Stegostoma tigrinum: one gene and its partners. The protein of the gene in region 4 interacts with the protein of the main gene of each other region in a pairwise test. Links are inferred from orthologs where the notes say so. Each region holds a gene or a part of one and is shown on either strand. Other genes may lie near its edges. The genes, in order: tfip11, E3 SUMO-protein ligase ZBED1-like, trim54 and airim.

What was found.
Region 1: the proteins of airim (region 4) and tfip11 interact in binary tests that used the Homo sapiens proteins (3 or more experiments, as listed by UniProt). The two-hybrid records come from large-scale screens. The link is inferred for Stegostoma tigrinum from reciprocal best matches to the Homo sapiens genes AIRIM and TFIP11.
Region 2: the proteins of airim (region 4) and E3 SUMO-protein ligase ZBED1-like interact in binary tests that used the Homo sapiens proteins (3 or more experiments, as listed by UniProt). The two-hybrid records come from large-scale screens. The link is inferred for Stegostoma tigrinum from reciprocal best matches to the Homo sapiens genes AIRIM and ZBED1.
Region 3: the proteins of airim (region 4) and trim54 interact in binary tests that used the Homo sapiens proteins (3 or more experiments, as listed by UniProt). The two-hybrid records come from large-scale screens. The link is inferred for Stegostoma tigrinum from reciprocal best matches to the Homo sapiens genes AIRIM and TRIM54.

What each region holds. Positions count from the first base shown.
Region 1 is NC_081379.1:17,491,910-17,499,308, forward strand, and holds the start of tfip11 (tuftelin-interacting protein 11), read left to right. Parts: upstream 1-4,393; 5' UTR 4,394-4,404; coding exon 4,405-4,515; intron 4,516-4,543; coding exon of another isoform or gene 4,544-4,698; exon of another isoform or gene 4,699-5,220; intron 5,221-7,399. Other genes in the region: srrd (SRR1-like protein), read right to left, coding at 542-587, 1,078-1,229, 1,474-1,572, 2,451-2,677, 3,403-3,443, 4,544-4,698. UniProt on the Homo sapiens protein: Involved in pre-mRNA splicing, specifically in spliceosome disassembly during late-stage splicing events. Intron turnover seems to proceed through reactions in two lariat-intron associated complexes termed Intron Large (IL) and Intron Small (IS).
Region 2 is NC_081359.1:101,414,798-101,422,650, reverse strand, and holds the start of E3 SUMO-protein ligase ZBED1-like, read left to right. Parts: upstream 1-4,849; 5' UTR 4,850-4,850; coding exon of another isoform or gene 4,851-4,951; intron 4,952-7,628; exon of another isoform or gene 7,629-7,651; coding exon of another isoform or gene 7,652-7,742; intron 7,743-7,853. Other genes in the region: dhrsx (dehydrogenase/reductase SDR family member on chromosome X), read left to right, coding at 4,851-4,951.
Region 3 is NC_081357.1:80,447,906-80,455,014, forward strand, and holds the start of trim54 (tripartite motif-containing protein 54), read left to right. Parts: upstream 1-4,096; 5' UTR 4,097-4,202; coding exon 4,203-4,370; intron 4,371-4,863; coding exon 4,864-5,036; intron 5,037-7,109. UniProt on the Homo sapiens protein: May bind and stabilize microtubules during myotubes formation.
Region 4 is NC_081377.1:9,425,338-9,432,339, forward strand, and holds the start of airim (AFG2-interacting ribosome maturation factor), read left to right. Parts: upstream 1-3,994; 5' UTR 3,995-4,096; intron 4,097-4,102; exon of another isoform or gene 4,103-4,290; intron 4,291-6,632; 5' UTR 6,633-6,651; coding exon 6,652-6,923; intron 6,924-7,002. UniProt on the Homo sapiens protein: Part of the 55LCC heterohexameric ATPase complex which is chromatin-associated and promotes replisome proteostasis to maintain replication fork progression and genome stability.

The DNA of each region.
Region 1 (7,399 bases), on a different chromosome or scaffold from region 4:
AGGCTGTGGGTGGGAGGTGCCCTGAGGTGATGAGGTCATGAATAGTGTTGGAGATGATGGTTTGGTGCTTGGGGGTGGGGTCATGATCAAGGGGGTGGTAGGAGGAGGTGTCGGAGAGTTGGCGTTTGGCCTCGGCGATGTAGAGGTCAGTGCGCCAAACTACCACTGCACCACCCTTGTCTGCAGGTTTGATGGTGAGGTTGGGATTGGAGCAGAGGGCTGCCCGTTCTGCAGGGGAGAGGTTGGAGTGGGTGAGGGGGGTGGAGAGGTTGAGGCGGTTAATGTCTCGATGGCAGTTTGTTAATAGACTAGTTAAAACTTAAATAATTCTTAGTTTTCACACAGCTACCATGTCATATAGACAACTTTCATTTTCATAATTCTGCAGTGGGAACATGTGCCAAAACTACATCAGTAGAAGCATTCATGGTCAATTTTCTCTCTTTGTTCATACCCTCAAACCCCCTAACTTAAATCGAGAGATTAGGATCCATGGGTAGCAGCAGAAATTGAATTGTTATTTGAAATTACTGAAGGATACATGATTAATGTATGTGTAGTCCCTCTTCAGCACTCGGGCTGGTATTCTGCAATATTTAAAAGAAAGTTCAACAATTTTGATAAGAATACTGTTTTAAGATTATCATCTTTCAATATTCTCTTTTCAAGAACATAGTTGGAGATATTACTAATCTAATTATAATATCCATTCCAATGAACGTCCCTGATAACCTCTTCCCAGTTCCACTATGCTTTGTTTCAAAAGCTTTCACCCCTGCCTTTCTGTTCCAGACTCTATGCTTGAAGTTCAAATCTTCACTGTGGTGAACAGATTTGCTGAATGAACTCTTCTTAAATATTGAAATTAGATCACCTTAAACTCTCCACTTTAATAAAACCATTGTGTGTAATTTAAAATTCCAATTCTCATATTATCCCGCACAGTACTATTGTTGCATTAATGTCCTACAGAGCGTAATCTATCACTATTTTCCTATCTTGCCCCATCATAATTATTAAATCACCACACAGGTTTTTTTTATTTACAAAGGATGAACAGCAGCAAAATTTTCTTACCTCTCCTCTATCCCTTTGAAACTGTTTCCAATGAGAATAGTTTGTGCGAGTTTTTGTGGTGACCAATTCCTCCACAAAAGGTTATTGTAGAGAGCTTTGCCACAGTGAATCATGTAGAACAGCGTTGGCCTGTCGATGGACCGCTTCCCTTCCTAATAGATTTTTAAAAGAATATTGCCAATCATGTCACGATATGCAATAAAATTTCTGAAGCACATGGATAGGTGCAGTTTGCTCCTCAAATTGTCATACAGAAGATCTGGCTGTGATTAGGGGCTAAATTTGGAGCAATCACCAGAAACCCAAAACCAGAAAGTAATGCATCCCTTTTGTCAGACAGGATTCACAGAGAAGACAATGGACAAAACAAAAACTAACTGTGTCAATGCCTTTTACCTCATTTTCCTCAAGCACCACCATCCCACTGTCCTTCAAGAATTTCTTCTCCCATTCTGTAAATAGTGGATCAAAGAAAAGGCAGCCATCTCGAGGGATCTGTTAAATACAACAACAAAATTTAAAATTTTACATGGAGCAAAATCACAACTACAAAAATGGGAAACGGTGCTGGACAATGATTATTTGATAAATTAAAACTGATTTCTTTCTCATCTGTTCACTTCTAATTTTGCACGGTTGCAACGGATTGCATAAGGTGAGATAGCTGCCTTTTTCTATCCCTTTGCCCCTCCCTTCAAATGGGCTGAATTAATGATTTCAATCACAGAGACGTTCGGATATCAGCTGCATTCTATGAAGTGGAAGTGAAGATCAAAGGGTCAATGAAGATCTCCGAGCTGCATTCGCATACCTGCTGTTCACTGCAATTGCATACAGCAAAAAAAACTGTGCATTAAAGAAATGATTTATTTCTGGATGAGGCATGAGCTGAATCAAAAGTAAAGCCCTCCATCCACTTCACGCTGTTAAAACAAGGTGTGTGAATGATTCTTATGTCTCCTTCAGCTTGCTTTGAAAATATGATTTCAGACTGAGTTTATCATACGAGGAAGCACAGTTGCAAAACTTTTCACATTTCGCTATGTGGTATTACCTGTTCGAAGATGTTTGTTTTGAATGTTTTTCACTGTCCATTCCTAAATCTGCAGATTTATAGATTTAGAGAATTATCATTTTAAACATAGTTATGAGTCACTGATTTATTTCCACAAAAAAGTACAAAAACACTAGACTTTTGCTGAATGAAAGATACACCGTGCAAGAAGAATGGGACAAGCAGAATCAAAGATGGAAAAGCAACTTGTTAATACAACTATGGTTTCTAAGCATTCAGGAATGATGCAAACTAACATTACTCAATGGACTCTTTAGCTCCCCATTCACTTCACACATTAGCACCTGACTACACTTACCTGTAGTGTCTCTAGCAGTAGGAACAGCAGGGCCAGCTGATAACGAGATGACATGGAAGTAGAAAAATTTCCGATTCCATAACATACCGAGTTAAGCATATATCGATAATGATCTGTATTTTTCTTTTTGTGTCCAAGGTAATCTGGAGGTTCCCCAGTAGGGAAGGGACTTGATGGAGATACAAGTTGATCTGTATGATGCATATTCACAACTCTTTGAAAGGTTTCTGAAACAGATTGTGACAATTACCATCTCAGGAAGCAAACTGAATGTCGTAAAAATTGCAAATAGATAATTACAGAATTGTTTCAGGTGCATGTCATTCAGTCCAGCATGTCTGAACTAGCTTTCTGAACATCCACCTGTCACCTTTATTGACTTATGTACATATACAGCAGGTCTCTCACCTCTCTGCCTACTCCACCAACTTGTAATTTTCCTCCTGAAATTCTACGCTATCCTCCTCTCAGTTTATAATGCTCCCAACTTTGAAGTTATCTCCTGCACTTCAAGATTCAGACCCCTTACATATATCAGGAAAAGCAAGAATTCCAACACTGACTCCTGGGGAACTCCACAATACATCTTACTCAAGCCCAAAAAACATCCACTAACAATTACTCTGTTTCCTATCACTTAGCCAATTTTATATCCACATTGCTATAGTTCTCTTTATTCCATAAACTACAACTTTTGTTTTACAAGTCTATTGTGTGGCACTATATTGAACTCTTTTTGCAAGTCCATGTACACAATATTGACCACATTGCCCTCATCAATTCTCTTTATCACCTCTTCAAACACTTCAGCTAGCTAGACATGATTTTCCTTTGACAAATCCGCGCTGGCCTTTCTGAATTAATCAATATTTTCACATGTGACGATGAATACTATCCTGAACAATTGATTCTAGAAACATTCCCATGTTAGAACTTAAGTCTACCAACTCACCGAGGCAATCAATCCAGAATTCTGAACTTTGCAGTTCCTTTCTGTAATAAAGTTCAATGGTTAGTTTTTCCATCACAGAAAGCTATGATTATTTTGTAGGTGTCAAATTTACAGGGACAAAGCAAGTAAAGAGTAGGTCTGACCATATGTCTTGTTTCTTGTAATAATAGGTGAATAAATTATTTTAAACTTATCTTGTAGAGAATGAAAAAGAAAGGAAACTGTTAGGAATGAGCCAACACTTAAGGTACATTTAATCGCTTCCACAATTTATTAACTTGGATGCCTAATTATGACGCTGTGACTTAACTGAAGTATTCAAAATGGAATGACAGAATTTCAGCTGGACAGGAGGGAGCATACTGGCCAATCATACCATTTAAGTGAACTTGAAAAGCCAGATGAGTCACATCTGAAAAATCTACTTGAATATGTACCTTGAGATCTCAACATAAAGTGAAATATTTCACCACTATAAATGTAATTGTGATAGAAAATGCTATCATGATAGACTAGGAGAAATGGTTTGATTGAACACATAGATTGTATTGGCCAACCATGGCAGTTGTAAATGTCAAAATAATGAATAAAAGAACTGGAGATGTTGGAGATTTGAAATAAAAACTGAAAGTGCTGGCAAAATTCAACAGGTCTGGAAGCAACTGTTCGGAGATGGCTGAATGAACATCTCGAGTTCAGTGACTCTTCATTAGAATAGAATTGTCAAGGCCTTAGGAGCAAATTACTGCAGATGCTGGAATCTGTACTGAAAACAACCAATGCTGGAGATCACAGGAGGTCGTACAGCATCCATGGGAAGACCTTTCCAGGTCCATATCAATTGCCTTATCGAGTAGTGTTGGCTGTGTGCCTAACTCAGATTGGCTTCCGTTTTCAGTGACTCCTGAAGTTGGATTTTAGTACATTTCCCCCCCTTTTTATTACGCCAACACACAGCAATCTGTGGACGTATGTGTGTGCTCCACGTCTCACACGTCTCAGATGTTTCTGGATACGTTATCTCTGGTCTGGCACGAGCGAGAGGCTGAAGGTGTTTCCCTACAAATGTCGGGACCAAAATCCATCAGATCAACCCCGCAGCAGCAGCAGGAGGTGGGTTCTGACAATTCAGTGAACTTACACTGCTTCCTTTATTTTCTGTTGCATTCTCTCCCCTTCAGCCACACTCGGATATTCCACCGCGTGGGGAACCTCTCTGGCATTTTCTCTCCGTTTCTTTACTCCTTTTTTCTTTCTGATTGTTTTCCATTCTCCTTCTGCTGGTAAGGCAGACATCTCTCTCTGTAATTAAGTTTGAAGAAGGGCCGTACCAAACTGCATCCTTTCAGTGTGCCCGTGTTGTTGCTGAGGAAGCTGAGATCTGGTGCAGGGGCAACAGGTTTCGAGATTATGGGCCTCAGCTGGGACGATGTGTAAAACAAAAACTGGAAACTCTGAGAACTGCTCCCTCTGGGAAGAAGAGAAACAAGATTTTTAAATTACATGGAGTGTTTATTCCTCCTTTCTGTCTGTTCCTGGTTATTTAATTTCCCAGTTCCTCAGAGCGTTTAACTGTTTTACACGACCCACGGTGCCTCTCGGTTCACTGTTCCCACTGACACCATCACCTTTGCAGGTTCTGTTTCCTGACCGCGGGCCGGAACCATTGTACGCTCTCGGTGTTTCCCGACAGCGGAGTTCCGGGCACGGACCATAGGATGGCGGATGTGGTTCGTTGGTGAGACATCGGTTTAAAGTTATCTCCGAGAGGCGGAGGGCGCGCGGCGGCGGCTTTGTGGCTGGAATTAACCGAAAGCGGTGAGTTTGGGTTGTGGACTTTGTTCCTGTTCGTTTTGTTGGACGATTCCTAAACTGCACCCAGGCCGACTGAGAGAACCGGAGAGCGGCCTGTGTGTGTGTGTGAGAGAGAGAGAGGGAGAGAGAGACACTGTACTCTAATCCTGACAGTCCGTTCCCCGTAATATGCACACAACCCCTGTTCCGCGCCGCCCCCCCCCCCCCCCAATTCCATTAGACCATAAGATCTAATTCGGATGTTCAGCCCATTCGTGTCTGCACCACCATCCGATCATGGTCGATATGTCTCAACCCCGTTCTCTCACCTTCTCCCCCAACCCCTGATCCCGTTACTAATCAACAACCTAACTATCTCTGACTTAATACGCTCAATGACTCAGCCAACACAGTTTCACCACCTGGCTGAAGAAATTCCTCCTCGTTTCAGTTTTACAGGGTTGTTCCTTTGCTTAGAAGCTGTGCCCTCAGGTCCTAGTCTCTCCTAGTAGAGGAAATATCATCTCCACAACCTCTTTGCCCAAGCCTCTCGGTATTCTGTAAGTTTCAATGAGATCTCCTCTCACGCGTTGAGTACAGGTCCAGAATCCTTAACGACTTCTTCTATGACAAGTTCTTCATCTCCAGGATCATGCTTGGAAACCTCCTCTGAATGCCCTCCAATGGCAGTGAATCCTTTCTTAAATACAGGGCACAAAACTGCTCACAATATTGCAAATGTGCCTGACTAGAGCCTTACACTGCATCTGCAGTACGTCTCTGCTCTTTTATTCTAGTCCGCTTGACATGAATGCTAACATTTCATTTGCCTTCCTAATTGCCAGATGAATCTGCATGTTAACCTTAAGAGAATCCCGGACAAGTAGTCCCAAATGCCTTTGTGCATTTGATTTCTGAAGTCTTTCCCAATTTAGAAAATAGTACGTGCTTCTATTGCTCCTACTCAAGTGGATAACCTCACTCTTTACCACATTGTATTCCATTTGCCACTTCTCCAGCCACTCTCCTAGCTTGTTGAAATCCTGCTTCATCAACATTACCCGTCCCTCCACCCATTCTTGTGCTTTTTTTCAAACATGCAGTTTGTTGATCTATAAAATGAATGGTTGTGGTTGTAACATTGACCCCCCGTAGAACTTCACTAGTTACAGGCTACCATCCAGAAAAAGATCCGTTTATTCCGATCTGTGCCTTCTGCCCATCAGCCAATCCTCTATCAACGCCAACACCTTGTCCCCAACACCATGGGCTTTTTTTTTAAAGCAGCCTCCTGTGCAGCGGCTTGTCAGAGGTTTCCTGGATATCCAAATGGGCCACATCCATCGGCTTTTCTTCATCAAACTTGTTTATTACCTCCTCAAAGGATTGCAATAGATTGTAAGGCACGACCTCCCCTTGAAGCAGTGCTGACTCAGTTCTTCTTTATCATGCACTTCCAAGTTCTCTGCAAACTTTTCCTTTGTAATTGACTCTAAAATCTTACCAGCAACCAAGCTCAGGCTAACTGACATATAATTCTCCATCTTCAGGCTCCGTCTTTTCTTAAACAACTTGTTACATTAGCCATTTTCCAGTCCTCTGGGGCCCACCTGTCACACAGGTGATGCCTGAAAGATCATCACCACCAATGTCTCCATAATCTTCTCAGCTCTCTCTTTCAGAACTCTGGGATATGGTCCACCCACTCTGGGTGATTCATCCACCTTCAGACCGTTCAGCTTCCCCAACATCATCACCTTACTGATGTCCACTACACTCAACCATGCCCCTTGACACTCTGAAGTTTTGTTATGATCCATGAAGAATGATGCAAAGCATCAATTAAGTTCATGATTTCTTTGTTTCTCATTAGTCCTTCTCAGCCTCATTTTTCAGCATTCCAATGTCCACCCTTGCCTCACTTACTTCTTATTTATCTAAAAGAAAACTTGTTCAATTTTTTTTCATATTACCAGCTAGCTTACTCTCATATTTCATCTTCTCCCCCTTATTGCTTTTTTGTTTGCACTTTGCTGGCTTTTAAACCCTCTGACTTCCCAATAATCCTCACCATGTTGTGTGCTTTTTCTTTTACTTTTGCATTGTCCCTAACTTCCCTTGTCAGCTATGCTTGCCTCATCCTCCCTGTAATATGTTTCTCCTTCCTTAGGATGAATTTCTCCTGAACTACCCCGAGAAACCT
Region 2 (7,853 bases), on a different chromosome or scaffold from region 4:
GCCAAGCAGCATCTTTGGAGCACAAAAGCTGACGTTTCGGGTCTAGACCCTTCATCAGAGAGGGGGATGGGGAGAGAGTTCTGGAATAAATAGGGAGAGAGGTGGAGGCGGATCGAAGATGGATAGAGGAGAAGATAAGTGGAGAGGAGAGTACAGGTGGGGAGTTGGGGAGGGGATAAGTCTGTCCAGGGAGGACGGACAGGTCAAGGAGGCGGGATAAGGTTGGTAGGTGGGAAATAGAGGTGCGACTTGAGGTGGGAGGAGGGCATAGGTGAAAGGAAGAACAGGTTAGGGAGGCGGGGACAAGCTGGGCTGGGTTTTGAGATGCAGTGGGGGAAGGGGAGATTTTGAAGCTTGTGAAGTCCACATTGATACCATTGGGCTGCAGGGTTCCCAAGCGGAATATGAGTTGCTGTTCCTGCAACCTTCGGGTGGCATCATTGTGGCACTGCAGGAGGCCCATGATGGACATGTCGTCTGAGGAATGGGAGGGGGAGTTAAAATGGTTCGCGACTGGGAGGTGCAGTTGCATCCCCTATTCCCAATTCCTTCGCTTCCACTGCATCTGCTCCCAGGATGAGGCATTCCACTCCTGCACATCCTACATGTCCGTGTTCTTCAAGGACCGCAACATCCCTCCTCCAGGGGTCGAGAACTCCCTCGACTATGTCTCCCGCATTTCACGCAACACATCCCTCACACTCCGCCCCTGCAATAACCGCCCAAAGAAAATCCCCCTAGTCCTCACATACCATCCCACCAACCTCCGGATACAACGCATCATCCTCCGACACTTCCGCCATCTACAATCCGACCCCACCACCCAAGACATTTTTCCATCCCCACCCCTGTCTGCTTTCCGGAGAGACCACTCTCTCCGTGACTCCTTTGTCCGCTCCACACTCCCCTCCAGCCCCACCACACGCAGCACCTTCCCCTGCAACCGCAGGAAGTGCTACACTTGCCCCCACACCTCCTCCCTCACCCCCATCCCAGGCCCCAAGGTGACTTTCCATATCAAGCAGATGTTCACCTGCACATCTGCCAATTTGCTATACTGCATCCACTGTACCCGGTGTGGCTCCCTCTACATTGGGGAAACCAAGCGGAGGCTTCGGGACCGCTTTGCAGAACACCTCCGCTCGGTTCACAATAAACAACTGCACCTCCCAGTCGCAAACCATTTCCACTCCCCCTCCCATTCTTTAGATGACATGTCCATCATGGGACTCCTGCAGTGCCACAATGATGCCACCCGAAGGTTGCAGGATAAGCAACTCATATTCTGCTTGGGAACTCTGCAGCCCCATGGTATCAATGTTGACTTCACAAGCTTCAAAATCTCCCCTTCGCCCACTGCATCCCAAAACCAGCCCAGCTCGTCCCCGCCCCCTACTTCATCCCAAAACCAGCCCAGCTCGTCTCCTCCTCCTTGACTTGTTCTTCATAACATTATATTTAAGTAGCTCGTTTCAGGCAGAACTGATTGAATGGAAGTTAATGGGCTTATCTGACAGCTGTAAGAGGTAGCTCTTGGGGTATCCATAAGATGGTTGAGATAAACTCTTGTAACTCAAACATTAGCTTTGTCTGCAGCCTTATCAGTTGAGAACAGAGGCAAGGGACCACTCTCAGATTGCTCTATCACCTTGAAGTGTCATTTTCCTGTTGGCTATTTAATTGTCCAACACTGTTCAGGATTGGTTGTCCCAGGATTGCAGAACTTTCATCTGATTTGCTAGATGTGGGATCTCTGTCCAATGCATCTAATTTTGTGGTTTGTCATACAAGTAGTCCTGTGTTGTACCTTCATCGGGTTAACACCTCAGTTTTAGGTCTGCCTGGCACTGCTTTTGGCATGCTCCAACATGATCAAGTCTGCTCTCAAACTTCTGTAAGATGAACAACACAAGCTTCTCCAGTCAATGCAAGTAACTGAAGACCCTCATCTAAGGGACCAATCTTGTAAATTTTTTTCAGTTCCCTCTCCAAAGTCTTCACATCCCTGTTGAAGTGTGATCAGAATTTCATCGAAAACGGCAATGGAAGCTGAACCAGCAACTTTTGCTTAAGATTAATTTTGTTACTGTACGGTTGTGCTCTTTGCTATTTAGACACCTTGGTCCCAAAAGTTCCATGCACTTGCTCAACCTGCCCTGTGGCTCAGCCTGAATTGTTGTTTCAGGAACAAAAACAAAGTTGCTGGAAAAGCTCAGCAGGTTTGGCAGCATCTGTGAAGGGAAAAACGGAGTTAACATGTTGGATCTGGTGACCCTTCCTCAGGACTGTTCTGAGGTCACCAGACCCGAAACGTTAACTCTGTTTTTTCCTTCACCGATGCTGCCAGACCTGCTCAGCCTTTCCAGTAACTTTGTTTTTATTCCTGATTTACAGCATCTGTAGTTCTTTCGGTTTTTATTCTGAACTGTTGTTAAATATGGAAGATGGGTAATGAAGACATGAATGATATACCGGGTTAACAAAGTGTGAAGCTGGATGAACACAGCAGGTATCTTGGATTCTCCAGCATCTGCAGTTCCCATTATCAATGATATACCGGGTAATGGTTTTGGCAGTTGGCGTCGAAGTTTTAATTCTTCTTTGGAATTGAAGGAATTTTGAAGAGAATTAGGAAATTGACAAAAACCAGGGGATACCAAATGAAGTTTAGAAGTTCAGAATAAACAAATGAGTCAAATAGAACATTTTCTTCCAAAGGGGATAGATCACCGGGGAAAACCACTGAGGTTTATACAAATGAGCTCATAAGTTGCTCAGATACATATTTGGGAAGAAAAGGGATGGAAGGATATAATCAGAAGTTGTGTGGATCCAACAGATACTTACAAAAATTATTTCCTTGTTTGATCTAACACCAGCATCTAATTGGTGAAAAACCTCGGGCACATTTTTGGAATGGAGTCATAGAGTCATACAGCACAGAAACAGGCCCTTCAGTCCATGCTGAGCATAATTCCAAATTAAACTGGTCCTGCCTGCCTGCCTGCTCCTGGCCCATATCCTTCCAAACATTTCTGGGCTGTGTAATGGTTTATATACTGGCCTTACCTTGAAAATGTAGTTTCAAATCAGCTTAGATTGATAAGATAAATGTTATTTGATGGCTATGAGGATCCTCTGTAGAATGGGTTTTACACTGAACAACCATATAAAACTACACGGTGAAATATTTACCCATTCAGTGTAGGGAAACTTGAATGTCAACCTTGACAGAAGGTCACACAATTTATGCAATACTATTGTATACAGTAAAATGTAGTAGAAATGTTCTACACTGGTAGCTTCCGCACAGTGAAAAAAAATCTACGCAATAAATGTTACATACAAACCTATGCAGAAAAGAATTATCTATAACTGAAAGATTTCCAAAGGGATACATTAGTTGTATAGATTCAGTAATATTCTCACAACACAGTGTCCACCATTGACCAGTGTCTAACTCTCCCTCTCTTGTACAGTATGAATGTTGTCTACCCTTTACATTGATAATTCTTGTGAATTGTCATGATGAGTGCAAAGTGAAAAGGTTTAGCGAATGTTTTGTCATCGGATGACAGAGACGGGGATCTTGAAGGATATAAGACATACAGGAAGGACAGGTAGCTAGGAAAAAATGGAAGGTTGGCTCTGTTAGATATTGATAGCAGGAACACAATAGAGTCGAGAGCCTAAGTTCAGGATGTGGAAATAGTTTGAATGGAGATGAGAAATAATAAAGGCAAGAAAACACTTATGGGAATGGTGCACAGACAGAAGACCAATAGACAACATGATTGAAACAGATGAGATCCTGAGGGATTTTGACAAGGTCGATGTGGAGTGGATGTTGCCTCACAAAGAGAAGTGTAGGGCTGGAATATAATCAAAACTTTCAGGATCTTGAGGGAAAAATTGCTGTGAGTAAGAGAATGACATGATATTTAAAGCCTTTGTATTATCTAAAGGTAGAGAAACTTCATAGTGCTTCAGTGCTTCAAAGCGATCTGGGTGTCCTTGGGCATGGCTCACACAGAAAACTATTTTACTGGTACAGCAGGTAATAAGAAAGGCAAAAGAATTTTGGCATTAATTGCTAAAGATGTAGAGTGTAAGAGTAAGGAGGTGTTGTTGTAACTGTACAAGACATTAGTCAGACTGCAGCTGGTAATCTTCAACCCCTTACTTGAAGAGGGATGTAGTTGCATTGGAGGTAGTTTAGAGCAGGCCTACTAGATTGATTCTGGAGATGAGGGGTTTACGTTATGAAGAAAAATTGAGCAATTTATGCCCATATTTCTTGGCATTTATGAAAATGAGATGAGATCTAATTGAGGTAAAAACGATCAAAAAGCGGGTTGACAAAGCAGATGTAGAAAAGGTGTTTCTTCATTTGTGGCAATCTAGAATGACAAGTCATTATTTTAGGAGAAGGGCTACTAGATTTAAAACAGTAGGAGAAATTAGTTCTCTCAAAAGGTCTTGAATCTGTGGTATTCGCTGCTGTAGGCTGCGGTCAATACCGGGACAATGAGTAAGTTTAGAGAGGAGATAGACTGATTATTAATTAGTAATGAGTTGAAGAGTTATGGGACCAGGCAGGAAATTGCAATTCAGGCTGAAATGAGATCAGCTATGGTTGTATTAAACAGTGGAGCAGGCTTAAAGAGCTGAATTGCTTACTCCTAGTCCTAGTACTTCTGTTCATCGCAAATAATTATAAACTGAAGGAATGCAATTCTACACTGTTAAAAGTTTGTTTACAAGGCCAGAATGGTTAAGATTTATCATACCTTTAAAATGTACTTTTGAATTGGATAATTCCTAACTGTTTCCCTTATGTTTACTCATAGAGTCACAATGATGCAGAAGGAGGTAATTTGGCCTATTGGTCCATGCCGGTTCTTTACGGGGACAATCCAGTCAGTCCCAATCCCCTGTTTAGCGGATATCTGTAAGTACAACAGGTTCCTGTCAATTTAAGTGCATCAATAATGGGAATTCTGGTGGGATACTGGTGTCATTATAGATTTTGGAGGATCAGAGCAACATCCTAAATTTTGCTTTCAACTACTTTGGTATAGGCATCAGAAATCATTGTCCAATTTTACACTTTAATAATAGCGAGCACTTGTTGCTTCACTATTTTTTTGCTGCAAAATATGGGTGGATGTACATATTATGTACTAATAGACTGAACAAGGATTCACTATTAAAGTAATATAAAATCCATGAATTTGTGCTCTGACAAGTTACATGTTGAAAATCTTTTTAATACCACACATATATAAATCCTAATTGATCAGCTCTTCCAAAAGCTTTGCTATGCTAATATCATGCCTCAAAGCTTGTCACTGTAATGCTTGGAAGGCACTAAATAGTTGACCTTAATGTGATAAATACCATATCATCAAAAGTTTGGACTTGTCCATTGAACATCATAACATAAAAAAGTTTTTTTTCACTTTTCCCTTCTGTTTTGCCTCTCTCTATTCATCTCATCTTTCTTTCTCTCTCTATTTTGCTTTTTGAATGTGATATCGTGTTGAGTTAATTATCCTAATTTATGTTAATGATCAGACTCTGTGAGTAGGTTCTGAGTGAGTTAAAATCAGACCCACAGTAAAGATTCTTCAATTTGATTTAGTTGAGACAAATGTGATGTTGCTTGCATTTCCCACAAGTCTTGATTCCCATTTAGAATTTGTCGTTGTCTCTCAGGTTTTTAATTGCACCAAGTTCCAGTGCAAAAACCAGTTGAAGATCTGTGTGTGTGTGTAGGTGAAATAATCAACATTTGATGAAGTCTTTTTTCTCTTAAGTAGAGCCACAGCCTGCTTAGAATTTCTATGATAGTTATAACTTCTCATTTCTGCTTTCACCTTTATAAATATATATATTTATTTAACATCTGTTCCAACACCTCTATTTCCTTTTCATGATATAGGGATATGACAATACACAGCGCTCTGTATTTTAATTTCATTCCTCGCTAAATGAAACCTCTCCTCCACATAAATATATATCTCTTTCAGATGAGACTTAACTAAGATCCAGCCGATGTCATCTGGTGGATGTAAAAGAATCCTCAGCACCATTTCAAATTATAGCAGAGATGTTCTTCCCAGAGTCCTCACAATATTTTAAACTAGCATTGCAAAGATAGGCGAATTAGCCAATGTAAACTAGCATGTTTTTGTGTGAGCTTGTGCCTTGATTGACTGCGATGTACCCTACATTTTGCAAACTCAAAGACTGGTCCAACCCGCAGAACTGCAAACTGTTCAGGTCCCAAATGTATCTGAGACAGATCCAAACTTGGGCTGTTAGCCATTAATGTGATCTGCACTGGCTCTTGATCAGGCAACCTGTCTCCTCAAGGAGTCTGAGTTGCTGTAGCAGATGCACTTTGACTTTTATGCTGCAGTGCAGAGCCAGCAGAGGCTCCACTTTGTCTTCCTATCTTACAGCTGACTAACAGTCTTCCAGTTTTACTGCCTATAGATGGCATATGTCGGGAGGGTCTGCAGCTTGATACACAAGCTACTTTGAAGGCACTGAGAATGAACCTTCTTTTGGTGAGACTTGAACGCAGAGAGTCTGACTCAGATTCAGGGACACTAACACTGCACCAAAAGACCTCTAGCTCCCTATAATAGCGTTCAAACTTCAAAAGTGCTTCATTGGCTGTAAAGTGCTTTGGGGCCTCAGGATCATGTGATTGTGGAAGGCCAATGCAAATTTTTCAGTCACATCTAATTCAGTTACCTCTGCTTTCCTCTCCACAGATGCTGCCAGACCTGCTGAGTTTGTCCAGAAATGTCTGTTTTTATTTCAGATCTCCAGCATCCACAATGCTTTCCATTGATATATGTAATTTGTAAATAAATGTACACACACATACATACAATGCCTGGGTGAGTGCAGCCACTGCTCGGTATGTGTTGGTTTGAGTGTGAGTGCTAATGGGAACTGCAGATGCTGGAGAATCCAAGATAACAAAGTGTGAAGCTGGATGAACACAGCAGGCCAAGCAGCATCTCAGGAGCACAAAAGCTGATGTTTCGGGCCTAGACCCTTCATCAGAGAGGGGGATGGGGGGAGGGAACTGGAATAAATAGGGAGAGAGGGGGAGGTGGACTGAAGATGGAGAGAAAAGAAGATAGGTGGAGAGGAGAGTATAGGTGGGGAGGTAGGGAGGGGATAGGTCAGTCCAGGGAAGATGGACAGGTCAAGGAGGTGCAGCTTGGGGTGGGAGGAAGGGATGGGTGAGAGGAAGAACAGGTTAGGGAGGCAGAGACAGGCTGATGAAGGGTCTAGGCCCGAAACGTCAGCTTTTGTGCTCCTGAGATGCTGCTTGGCCTGCTGTGTTCATCCAGCTTCACACTTTGCTATCTTGGATTCTCCAGCATCTGCAGTTCCCATTATCACAGAGACTGGTTTTGGGATGCAGTGGGGGGGAGGGGATTTGCGTTCATCCAGCTCCACACTTTGTTATAAGATTGTTATAATGCGTTGGTTTGAGCTGTGTTGTAGGAGGAATTGGAGGTGGGACTGTTAGTGCGGCGGAACGTCTGTGCGGCTCAGTGTGTTCCACGCTGGGGGACGGTTCTCGTGCTGTACCCTCCTCGACTGCTCTCGCTCGGTTGCTGTAATGTCGCCCCTCTCCGCGTTTCTGTGGACCTACGCCGTGGGGGTGAAGGTGTTGCTCTCCCAGCTGCTCGGACGCAACTTTTTGCTGCCAGGTTAGAGAGACCGCGATTAAATTGTCCTGGTGGCTGACATTAAAATCCCAGCATTGTCTGTTCACCGGGAAACTCCGTTCCAGTGTCCTGGCTGCCTCCCCCCGCCCTTTG
Region 3 (7,109 bases), on a different chromosome or scaffold from region 4:
TGACTACCCCACTTTTTGAATAAATTAGTTACTTCACTAATTTCCAAGCTGAATCTACAGAATTATTGAAAATCGCAACTACTAAGAGAATCTGACTATCTCCCCATGATATTCAATAGCATTATCATGGATCATGGCTGCAGGATGACATAGATTGACACCTGAATATTGAAGATTATATGGCATTATAGAAGGGGCAGGAGGCTTGGAAGAATTGGAGGAATGACTCTTATTTCACGATGTTACCAACATAAAAGAGAAGGAAGACCTAAGTGTAGGAACACGGAATGTAAAAGTGATTTAGATAGAAATTAGAAATGAAAGAAGAATTGAACTCAAATCAGTCTTCACCATGGAGGATATACATTCAATCCTAGAAATAGCTGTGAATCAAGAATCAAGAGAGGGAAGAACTGAAGAAAATAATAATCAAGAGGGAAGTAGGGTTGAGTAAATTGTTGGAATTGTGAGCTGACAAGTACCTGATGGAACTAGAGGCCAACAATTTTAATATCTGTCATAAGGAAAATATTAGAAACAGTCATACATTCGGACTAGTTTTGGGTTATTGGGCAGAGTCAATATAGTTTTGTGAAAAGGAAATCATCTTCGACAAATTTATTGCTGATCTTTAAGGAAATAGCACATTATGGATAAAGTGGAGCTGGTGAATGTGCTGTGCTTAGACTTCCAGAAGACCTTTGATAAGGTGCCACATCAAAGGTTATTGTAGAAAATAAAAGTTCTGCGTGCGGGGTAGCATGTTATAATGGGTAGAAGTTTGAATAGTTAGCAGGTACAAAAAGTAGACTCAATAGATTCACTTCGGGTTAGCAAGTTGTAACAACGGGTTTTGGGACCATAGCTTTTCACAATTTACATAAATGGTTTAGATGATGCAATGGGAGGTATAGTTGCTAAATTTGCTGATGGCACAAAGATTGGTAGGAAAGTAAATTGTGATGGAAAAATAAGGAGAATGGCAAATGCAGTATGGTGTGAGAAATTGTAAAATTTGTTATTGTTGGTAGCTCTTCTTGTAATGCAGTGGTAGGGTCCCTACTCCTGGACTGGAAGGCCCAAATTCAAGTCCCACTTGCTCCAGAAGTGTTTAAGAAGATTTCTAAACAGGTTGATTAGAAAAATAAGTGAATTTTAAAAAGAAAGATTATCTAAATGATTAGAGATTACAGCGGTTTGCGATGCAGCGGGATTGGATATCCTAGTGCATGAATCACAAAAAGGTTAGTAATAGGTACAGCAAGTAACAAGGAAAGCTGATATAATAAAATCATTTATTGCAAGGGGAAATCAAATACAAGGTAGGGAGATTATACTTCAGGTATAAACACATTGGTGGCACAAAACTGATTAGAAGTGCAGCAACAAACAGTATCATGGCAGAGCTGTCACCTGCTAGTACACCTGGAATCACCCGTATGGACAGTATGTTCATTTCACAAAGGGCAGGAGTGTGCCATATAGGTTGTCAGAATAATCAATGATAGTTTTATCATTACCATTACCGAATCTAGCTTCCAATTTCAGATTTATTTGCTGAATTAATGTGAGTTGTGTGATTGTTACTTGGCCTTCAACTAATGCCTTTCTCTTTGGCAGAATGGCACTCACCCTGATCTTAACTGAGTTCATTCTGGTTTAGGTAAAACTCACGCCTTCAGTGAGCTTGCAACCTCTCAGCAGTCACCACTCTTTAGTGACATTTGACCATTCCTTGCACTGCTTCTTAGCGTCCACCTAACCCTTCTGATAAAAGGTCCAAGTAGTGATAGGTAACACAAGTAGACTCAGCTAGTACCTTAAGGCCTGCTCACCTCCTCATCACCCAGCTTTAAACAGTCATGAGAGTGAAGGCCTGTGATAGATTAGATTAGATTCCCTATCTACAGTGTGGAAACAGGCCCTTCGGCCCAACAAGTCCACACTGCCTCTTGGAGCATTCCACCCAGACACCCCCGAACACTATGGGCAATTTAGCGTGGCCGATGAACCTAGCCTGCACATCTTTGGACTGTGGGAGGAAACCGGAGCACCCGGAGGTAACCCACGCAGACACGGGAAGAATGTGCAAACTCCACACAGACAGTTACCCGAGGCTGGAATCGAACCCGGGTCCCTGGTGCTGTGAGACTGCCGTGCTAACCACTGAGCCACCATGCCGCCCCCATAGCAGTGTGCCTCTGATTTAAACAGCACTTAGTTACTAAAATTTAAGATTTAATGTACATTATTAAAGCAATTTAGGTTGAGCAAAGAATTTGCTTGAGAGAACCCCTTGAAAGAATAAAGAAATTGAGTTGTTTTGTCTTTAGCTAGTTAATTTGTTCAATTCAATACAATTTTCTCAAAATATGCATGAAGAGACTTATGGAACTTGTGTGGATATCCACTTTGTGTTTTTTAGAATTATATTGATATTTTCCAATTGTTGATTGTTTTCTCCACTCCCACTCCATTTATTTTATATAAATTCTCATTATTCAAGCTTTAATTATGATTTTCAAGATTTTTTGTTTATGAATCCAATATGAGTGAAATCCACTTCATTTATACATCCTTGACCAATTCTTCAGTTGATTTCATACCACATGCTGACCACAACTGTGGCAACAATAAAAAAGCCCCAAAGATCTATATCTAAGTTTTAGAATTAATTTTGAGGTCAGCCATCTGAAGCTTTAGCTCTGTTGCTGTCCACAGATGCTGCCAGACATTTTGAGTATTTTCACCATATTCTGCTTTTATGACTAATTTAGTAGTTGATGATCTAAACATCATTTACACCCTTCATGTAGAATTAATTATTTTCAAGGTCTATTTATGTGTTGTGTTTGCTGCTTTTGTCATGTCTAGAAATCATGAAAAAAGAGTTCTATCCCAATGAAGAATAAAGATGCTAAGTGAAGGATGAGACATCCATGACAAGAAATTTAGAGAGAGTATGCTTTTGGGGATGAACCTTGCAGTGGGATGCAAACCGACGCATGGAGGTGCACAGACAATGGATTGTTTGGAGCTTGGAGCGGAATTGGTATAGTTGTTGGACATGTGAAAGTCTCTGCACTGAGATTCTGCAATGTCATGTTTATTCATTGTTCATGTGACTGTATTGTCAATCCTTTAACCAGGTCTTATTTCGACTTACTCATTGAACACTGTAAAGTAATGCAGCTACTCTTTTTGTATTCCTTTTTTGTATCTAAGATTTATGCTGAGATATTTGTACCTAAGATGGTGCCATAAGAGGTGACATTGCCTAAGGAGACAGACCATAACAAAGAAATAGCTTATTTATATTTTTTAGAAATAATTGAGATTCTAACATAAATCCACAGAGCAGCTTAATATTGAGAAGACCAGCATGTCATTCCTCCTTAGATGCTACTTTCAGCTAAATACTTCTCAACATTTGCTAGGGACAACCATTCCTTTGTTTTGGCATAGCAGTCTGTCATGAAAAAGGAGTAGTTAACTACATTCTCGTGAAAGATGGTGGCACATTGCTTTGGTAGGTATAACATTTTTTCTCATTTTATATTTATATCCAACTTAATTGTGATCTTATCATTTGTGTTAATTGGAGATTTCAATTGCATTAGGCTGAGGATTGTATTTCCTAATTAACTAATCTGAAAACACTTCACTTGTTTTGTGCATCGATTATTCATGAAATCAGATTAAGTTGCAAAGTAAAGCAAAAATATATATATTCAACAGGAATATATTGCTGAGCATAAAAAGTGCTGTACACAGGATAACAGGTTGCATTGGATTTAATTTAAGGTTTTCAATTTGAAACTTTGTTCAGGGAGTTGATTTCAGAAACTTTTGAGTTGCATTCAGTTTTGTTTTAGTAATTTATATAATCAGTAGTTTACTACATGACTAAACATCATTTGACAAGGGAAAGAGCTGCCCAACAAATGGCTGTTCAAAATCTCAGTCTCACATTTCAGGAGATAAATATGGAGTGAGGAATGCAGAGCCCACAACTGTTAGTCCATGTGATTTGTTGGCTAAAAGAAAAGCAATACGATCCTCTGTGAAATGATTCTAAATTTAGCTGGCTGCCTAACAGTTGATGTTTCAGCGGAGAGCACAGGTTGGGAAAAACAGTGCCTTGAAGAGAGGGAAAAGGAAAATTCTATTTAACAGATTGAGTGAACCTCTTGATTTTGGGGATGAACCTTGCAGTAGGATTCAAACCAATGCTTGGAGGCGCACAGACAATGGACAGTTTGGAGAAACAACTTATTTGTCCTATTTGTCTGGAAATGTTCACAAAGCCAGTTGTGATTTTACCATGTCAACACAACTTGTGTAGAAAATGTGCCAATGACGTTTTCCAGGTAGGTGTTTCAGAACTTAGTGGCATTTTACCGTGGCATAGTTATTAACCTTAATGCACTATTAATAGTATTAACATTTTAAGTCCATGAAAACTATTCTTTAGAAGCATGCTCTTGATAAAATAGTTTTAATGTTTAGGCCTGTTTTTTACACATCAGATTGCTTGGAGTGCAGATTTACATGTGAAGGGATGTAGGGGAGGAGAAATGAGAAAGAAGAGTATGTCAGATCACAAATACAGTGGCGGCAGAAATTATGATCAAGTCCAGCTCATCTCTTTTTTTAATGATAAAACATCTTTCTCTTTGCCTGAGCTGTGGGTGATAACACTGGCGTTCAGCTGCATGGTTCTGTTGAAGCAAAAAAAAACAAAGAAGAATATCTACAAAAAGCGGAAGACTGACAAGAGGCAAAGGAATGTGAGTAACGCGTGGCGTAGCTGAATACTCTTTTAGGGCTGTTTGACACTTTTATTTGGTACATAATTCACAGGCTTCCAATCCATTCTGGCAGTCGAGAGGCTCCACAACAGTGCCTTCAGGGGGTCGCTTTCGCTGTCCTTCCTGCCGACATGAGGTAGTACTGGATCGCCATGGAGTTTATGGCCTGCAGAGAAATCTCTTGGTGGAAAATATCATTGATATCTACAAGCAAGAATCATCCAGGTTACGCAATGTGCTTTATTTATAGAGAAAGCTGAACCGAGAATGAGTGTGTTTAGTCAATGATCTGTAAACATAGAAGAACATTTTTATTATTTTATTCAAATAAAGTGGTCTTTACCACTTTCTCATAATCATTTACTTCTATATTGCTCTTTTGGCTGAGGTGAAAAAGAAGTATATTTTCTATCAGCCACGCTCAGGAATTAGTAAGTAAGAACAAACAATATCAAATCCTTTGGGAATACAGTAGAATGTTCCACAATGGGAATTCAAATAGTACTATGTAGGAAATGCTCACAATTTTCAAATTAAGAAAGTAACAAGGTTAAAGGAAGAGGAATGATGAGGTAAGTCGTACTACAGGGAACAGGGTCTGAAAAACCTGAAACTGCAGGATGAAAAGATGCAAATCCTTGTATTCCACTTGTTTGGGTTTTTGGGTACAAAATTCACATGGGCCGGTTTATGATCTTTGTCTTTTTTCAAGGATTCTTTAAGAGGTTTGCAACAAAGGAGGAACCTGTATGGATAATGCCCATGCTGTCTTTTTATTAGGACAATTCAAAACTACTCCTATTGCCTTAATAGGCCTATATGTTCCAACTTTAATTTTCAGTTTTCCTTTAATTGATGTTGTGGTTTCTGCTTTCAGTAACAAAGAATTCTAGTTCCAATGCCTTTTCTTTGAAGCACTAAATCAAAGCCTACTTAAGATTGGAGACCTGCGATTGATGGATAAAAAGAGGAAACTCTAACACCACTCATCTATTTTAGATAGAAATGCTATTTGTGAAATCCTCAAATGAGGTTGTTTGATGCCAACACATCTGCAAGACTTTCAGTTTGTATGACAGAGCATAATTCAAATGAAATCACTTTTATGACTTCCAATTGCATAGTCAGACTCATTCAAACAAATCACTAATGTAAACTATTTTAAATATAAAATCAAATTCTCAATGATAAAGTTATTTTACATTTCTGTTCAGAATCTTCTGGTCTCATTCAATTAGTCTATCTCAGTTGGGTTATTGTCTTTTCCAAATAACAATAATGGGTAAATAGTCTAATTGTTGACTGTTAAGAGAATTTAAACTTTGCCCTTCAGACAAGGACATGCAAATTGTATCGCAGTTAATGTTGTGCAGTCACTGTTGTAATTGGAGAAAACATGTCAACCAATTTATATACATTTAGGGTCCATGAACAATACTGACAATAATAGCAAGATAGTTTATTTCAGCAAGATAGTTTAAAGCTATGATTCACTGAACCAGATGCTTATCATTTACCATACTTGACCCAATGATAACTCTCCGAGATAGTTATTAGTCACATATTTTATCTTGATATGATCCCTCTACTATATTCATCTAAATTTTTGATTAATGTGCGACTGTTTTATTGACTAAAGTTTACGATTTACACAACGTTTAATAACTTTTAGTTAAAGTGACAATACACTTGTATAGTAATTTACATTGTGCAAGTGGCTACAAGTTCAGGATTATTTTATAAGCTCATCATTTTGTTTACTAAAACATTAACATTGGTGCTATCAATGCTTTTGATCTATTGTGTAGATCAGAGTTGTTGGTTGGTTTGCCGAGCTGACTGGTTTTTGTACAAATGTTTCATTCCCATTCTGGGTGACATTTTCAGTGCTGTCTAGCCTCCGCTGAAGTGCTAACGTTCTGTTCCATTTTAAATTTATATGGTCTGGTCTGTTATGGCGGGTGGTTCTGTTTCCAGTTTTGCTCCATCGTGGTATTAAGCTGGGGTCTATTTCAAGATGTTTATGTTGTTTATGGCACCGCCATTTTTGCATAGGTGTGTTCACCCATCTTGGGTCTTATAATGGAAGCAGTTATGCAAAGACTTGAACATGCAGATCCTCCCCCAGATCCAGCCTAAATTATTGGTTAACTGCATCAACGATACTTTCTTTATCATTAAATGAGCAAAGTTAGAAGAAACACATCAGCTTATTAATAACCTATTCACTGAGATCAAGAGGATCACCAAGGAAGAACAGAACAACAAACAACTCATGACTTGGACGAGGGGATTGAA
Region 4 (7,002 bases):
GCATCAGGGAAGCAGGAAAGTTAGACGTTTCGGGTCGAGACCCTTCTTCAACAAAAAAAACCTTCACTCGGTTCGCAATAAACAACTGCACCTCCCAGTCGTGAACCATTTTAACTCCCCCTCCCATTCTTTAGACATGTCCATCCTGGGCCTCCTGCAGTGCCACAATGACGCCACCCGAAGGTTGCAGGAACAGCAACTCATATTCCGCTTGGGAACCCTGCAGCCTAATGGTATCAATGTGGACTTCACAAGCTTCAAAATCTCCCCTCCCCCAACCACATTCCAAAAGCATCCCAGCTCGTACTCGCTTCCGTAACGTGTTCTCCCATCTATCCACTCCACCCACCTCAAACCCCGCCCCCATCTCCTACCCACCAGCCTCATTCCCACCTCCTTGACCTGTCCGTCCTCCCTGGACCGACCTATCCCCTCCCTAACTCCCCACCTACATACACTTTTACTGGCTCCAACCCTAGCTTGACTTATCTGTCTCATCTCCACCGATCTCCTCCTTCATCCATCTTCTATCCACCTCCCCCTTTCTCCCTGCTTATTTCAGAATCCCCTTCCCCTCCCCCATTTCTGAAGAAGGGTCTAGACCTAAAAAGACAGCTTTTCTGCTCCTCTGGTGCTGCTTGACCTGCTGTGTTCATCCAGTTCGACACTTTGTTGTCTCAGATTCTGCAGCATCTGCAGTTCCTACTATCTCCAGAGTCAATCAGTCGGCTGATCTACGGCTTCTTTCCAATGAATAAGCCTTCTGACTACAACAATCAATGCTGTTCCTCCAGCAGTGCATATAGCATCCCATGCATATACTATGGGAATTGGCTTTGTCTGAAATCACACTTTCTGTCTTTTGTCAATTGCTTTGCCTTGATCTCAATCCCTTCTGGAGTGAGAATAGATCCATCCTCACCGTAGCAAGCACAAAATCATGAAGAAACTCAGCAGATCTGGCAATATTAGTGGAGGGAGAAACAGGATTAGCATTTTAAGTCCAGAATGATCATTCTAACTGCAGAACTGAAAGGTGTTGGGAAATGTTGCTTTATACTTTTGACCTTTAATAAGTGCAGATGATGGCCTAATGGTATTATTGCTGGGCTGTTAATTTGATAGAAGGAAAGTAGATGGACAGAATTGAGAAAAGAGGAGGGGGAAGGAGATAAAATGGGAAAAGGGATTCAAAGAATCACATACGTTGCCTTTTTAACAAATCAAATTCTTCTAAATAGTAACTGTTACCCATAATACACACTGAATCATCTTCAAACGAGCATGTCCGATCAAAGCATTTTGACAAATTGGCCAAAAGAAGTGTAGAAAGTGTAATTAACTGCGCGGAAAATCTCACTGTCCCAGTGAGCAACATTTGATTGGGGAATGATAGGTAACCTTAGGGACCTGCTTATCAGTGAAAGATCTAAATGAGTTTGCTTATATAGCAAACAGAAAATGGTCTGAACACCAGTTTTAAGAGAAGATCATAGCCCTGTGTTTACTTGTTGGAGAGTTTGTCATAGACTAGTGCCGAGCTGAAGTCGCCTCTGAAAAGGAAGGATTGAATGGCACAGGCTGGATGGAGTTTAGCAACTGTGTCATCAGTTGTCTTGGTCCCAAGCACAGATATTCCAACATTTAACCTCTTGGAAGGCGTCTCTAAAATGTACTGCTTTGATCAGTTTTGTTAGACATCTGTACTAATGCGTTATGTGTCTCAGTGTCAACTTTTCATAAAATATTATACTATAAAAGGGTCATTTAATCTAAACTTCCCATTTTATTCCTACTCGCAAGTTCAACCCTCCACTGCATAAAATTTTTACTTTACAAATATGCATTCAATTGCCTTTAGAAAGCTCCTGTGGAATTTAGTTCACCGAGTCTTTCACATTGTGCATTCTAGATCCAAACTGTAAAAGTGAAAACAACTGTCTACTTTTTAGCCAATTTTAAACATGGAGCTCTGATTACCAAACTATCTTGATTTGATTTGATTTATTATTGGTCAACGTAGCGAGATAGTGAAAGTATTGCATTACGTACGAACCAGACAAGTCATATTGTACACAACTACATCAGGGTAATAGAACAGAATGCAGAACATAGTGTTACAGCTGTAGAGAACGCACAGAGAAAGATCAACTCTGATATATGACAGGTTTCTTCTCAAGTTTGACAACAGCAGGGAAGAAGCTGTTCTTAAATATGAGTATGTGTTTTCAAACTTTCGTATCTTCTTCCCAATGGAAGAGGGTGGAAGAGAATATAACCAAGATGGCAGGGGTATTTGATTATACTGGCTGCTTTCCTGAGGAAATGAGAAGTGTACACGGAGATAATGGAAGGAGGGCTGATTTTCATGATGGGCTGTGTTCACAAATGTCTTTAATTTCTTGTGGTCTTGGCCAAAGCAGTTGTCATACCAAGCTGTGATGCATCCAAATACGATGCTTTCTATGGTGCATCTATAAAAATTGATAAGAATCATTGTGGATATGCCAAATTTTCTTAGCCTTCTGAGGAAGATGAGGCATTGGTGTTCTTCCTGAATGGTAGCATGACATGAATGGACCAGGGCAGGTTATTGTTGTATTTATTCCTAGGAACATGAAGATCTTGACTGCTGCCACCTCAGCATCATTGATACAGACAGGGGCATGGCCTCCATTCCGCTTCCTGAAATTGATATAATTGGTCACTCTCTTCTTCACTGTAACTTGGTCAAAACTCTTGAACTCTTTCCATAATTCCACTGTCGGTGTAACTACACCACATGGACTGCAATGGTTTATTAAGGTACTTCACCATCATTTTTGCAATTATGGGTGGTTAACAAAGGGTGGTTGAGGTAATGATGGTGTTCAAAGCCATTTAGTGTTTTGATGAAATGTAAACAAGGACAATCCACAGGAGACAACACTGTGTAAAGCTGGATGCACACAGCAGGCCAGGCAGCATCAGAGGACCGGACAAGCTGACGATTCCGGTCTGGACCCTTCTTCAGAAATGATTCACATGACACTGGTTTAAGGCATTGTTACAAAATAACTGTACAATACATGAGATAATAAAATCTGAGGCTGGATGAACATAGTAGGCCCAGCAGCATCCCAGGAGCACAAAAGCTGACGTTTTGGGCCTAGACCCTTCATCAGAGGCATTTCAGAGGCTCGAGGGGGGCACGGTACGCCAGAGTGACTCCGCGAGGAGCTCGACCAGTTAAGCGATTCAACACGCCCAAGCGGGTGAGAAAGATAAAGTAATACATGAGTGCCAGTTCTGATTTGAAAAGATAGCTGTGATGTGTCCAGATAGGATGCTTTCTATGGTGCATCTATACAAATTGGTAAGACTCATTGTGGCCATGCCAAATTTTCTTAGCCTTCTGAGGAAGTAGAGACATTGGGTGTCAGGGATAATGGGAACTGCAGATGCTGGAGAATCCAAGATAACAAAGTGTGGAGCTGGACGAACACAACAGGGCAAAGCTTTTGTGCTCCTGAGACGCTACTTAGCCTGCTGTACTCATCCAACTCCACACTTCGTTACCTCAGAGACATTGGGTGTGCTTTTTTAACGGTAGCATGACGTCGGTGGGCCGGGGCAGATTGCTTCACCGTGTCCAACCAATCATAGCACAACTGCGCCAGGTATCAACCAATCACAGCAAGGCCTGTCCAGGACACAGCCAATCGCAGCACAGCTATCCCAGATATCAGCCATTCACAGCACGAACTGTCCAGGATATGCCCAATCGCAGCGTGGCTGGCCCAAAACCTATCCAATCGCCCATCATGGTGGGATGTCACTTCACAGAGCAACCGTCCAAAATTCAACTTGCAGCAACTAAATCATTTTTAAACTCCAAGGAGGAACAGAGCACGAAAATAACCAAGTGTGTCTGTGTCTTCTCAGTAATATTCATATTCTTGCGAGATGGATACCAAAAAATTTTTACTGCGCGCGGAGCATCATGGGGGTTGTAGTCCTGGTGGTTGGGTGAGATGTGCGCAGGCGCGGATAAAGGCGTGTGGTAGGGACGTTTGGTATTAAAGTGCTGTGGAGTTTCTCTCGCTGCCGTTGACATGTGAGTACGTTGGTCGGGCCGGGGTATTATTTTATTTTTCTCACCCGTTTGGGCGTGTTGAATCGCTTAACTGGTCGAGCTCCTCGCGGCGTCACTCTCGCCCACCGCGCCTCTGAAAACTTGAACCGAAAGCAGAAATTGTTGGAGGAAGAGACAGTAGGAACTGCAGATGCTGGAGAATCCGAGATAACAAGGTGCGGAGCTGGATGAACACAGCAGGCCAAGCAGCATCTCAGGAGCACAAAAGCTGACGTTTCGGGCCTAGGCCTGAAACGTCAACTTTCTCGCTCCTAAATCCTGCTTGGCCTGCTGTGTTGTTGGAGGAATCTCCGCAGGCCAGTCAGCATATATGTGGAGAACGAAACTGGGGTTAACGCTGTGGGTCGGCTGACCCTTCTCCAGCACATTCTTCGAAAAGTGTCAGCAGCAACGTTCTGTGAGGAGGCTTTTTCATGGGGCTTTGTTGCCGACATGTTGTAGTTCATTTCCATTGCTTCCATGAGGCCGCCTCAAGGCGGTCAGTTCACAGGAGCACAGTGATTCCATCGCCCATGTGAGATATTAATCGGAGGTCCCACATGCCTGCTCAGATGCCCCTAACAAATCCCATAGGCGCCATTTCCAGAGAGTGTGGTCTCTGGTGAACTGGCCAGTATCTGTTCTCAATTGTGGACCATCATGCTGTTAACTACTTATGTAAATGTCACTGGGATAGAGGTGTTATTTTTGGTCAGTACCACGCAAGATTGTAATCAGAAATTCTCACTTGAGTTACGGAAGGGACAAGTTTACGTGGAAGACTTAAAACTCAAAAAGATGTCTTTGGTTTGATTGGATAGAATCAACTTCTGTTTGTTTTCTTGATATGCTACTGCACAGATCAGTACTGTGTGTATTATATTTATTTATAATACACAAGATATTTTTAATGAATAAAGTGTATTTTTGAAATTAATAAGAAACTTAAAATTCAGAATTGGGTTTTAAGTTGAAGGGGTCAGTTGAAGGAGGAATTCCACATCTGCAGGCAACATCTTTTTTTAGGAAGGGATTGAGGAATTTAAACACTTTATGCTTCAACCTACTGAGATTTGGAAGCAAATGCAGATCAGCAAACACAATAACTGCAATAGTGTGTGGGTACAACAACATTTTGTTGGAAATTAGGATACAGATAACAGGGTTTTGGATGAGCTCAAGACTAAAAAGGATGAGAGGCATGAAATATTCTGGTCTGGAAAACATGGTTGACATTTTCAAAACAAGCAGGGGCTGAAATAGGTAGTCTTCATGATTTAAACAAAAATGATGTAACAGGAAAAGAAAAGATGGATAAACTATTTTCACTGGTTGGGAATCCTCAAACTAGGGGACACAGTTTGAGAATTAGGGCCAGACAATTCAGGAGAGATGTTAGGAAGCACGTCTGCACACAAGCTGGTAGATGTTTGGAACACTGTTCCACAAACAGCAGTGGATGCTGGTTCAGTTGTTGGTTTTATGAACCCTTTAAAAAAATTAACTCTCCCTTAACAAAGCTATGTTGATTCTATGAGATTAACTTGAATTTTTTCAAAGTGCTTTTGTCTTTGACAGTAGCTTTTAACATCTGGTTATGGCTGAGTTCCTGCTTTAAGTCTGATTTGAAAAGAATTGTGCCATTTTCACTTTCTTCCGGTGTAACAAAACTCCTTTGATCCATGTGCAGGATGTGGCATTGCCCAGATGACATTTACTGCCCAGAGAGCACAGAAGAGTCAACCACATTTCTGACAGTCTGAAGTCACATTTATGTCAGACCAGAGAGAGAGATTATCTTCCATAAAGTACATGAATGAACCAGATTTATTTTAACAGTGGTGATTACATGGCCACCACTAGCTAGCTTTTTATTGAGGTTTCACCATCTGCCATGAGGGATTCAAACCCATGTTTGATTCCATGTCCCCCATTAATAGTCTAGTGACATGACTACTCCACCTTGCCTCTATTTTCTCCAAATTGAGGAAATTTTGGAAAATTAAAAGCACCCATCTCACAAGTCACTTCACTTAAGGTTATAGGATGAAGTCCGTGTGGACCCGGGGATCTGCCAGCCTACAGCTCCAAGAATTTACTCAGTACCAATCTCCTGGTTATTGTGGTAACCATGGTAATTAAGGGAAAAAATAAATATAGCATCAGTTTTATAGGGAGATAATTGTACAGGTCAGAAGATTGTCATTCTGTACTGGTTTTATATTCTGTTCAAAGGTTGACAAGGAGGGAAAAAATTAGAGCCCAAGATCAAGATAAAGCTAATATGAAATTTAATTGTAAGAATGACCAGATATTTTCAGAGTGTTTTTGTTTAAATACCTGCAGTTTTAAAGAACATTGTTTGCTAAGTCATATATTTAAAAAAAAATCTCTTAATAGTCTAATCACTTCCACAAATCAAACACTTGCTTTACCTTTTTTATTTCTTTGGATATTTGTACTTCACTGGATATTTTTCTTGTCAATTGGATTCATTTGCTTGTGATTTTCTTTTTAGGTTATTGTAGCAGAAAGTCATGGCTCAGAGACAAGCCTTGCTGGCTGTTCATCAAGTTTTGGAGAAATGTTTCCATGTTATTGAGCAGCAACAAAATTTGTGGGCAAGTACACTGACGGAATGTATCCCAATCCTGAGTTCGCTGAGTAACTTGGCAGAGCAACTGCAAGCGTGCAACAAAGTTGTGTTTATGAATACCCCCTTTCGAGTGTTCCCTGATTTGCAGTGCCGTCTGAAATACAAACTCACTCGGGCTATCGAAATCAATTTGGAAAGCCTTGGTGAGAAAATGTAGGTTCCAGCATCGCTCATCTATTGATAATTAAGCCTGAAGTACTGTCTCCTGACACTTATTTGTACAACCATCGAG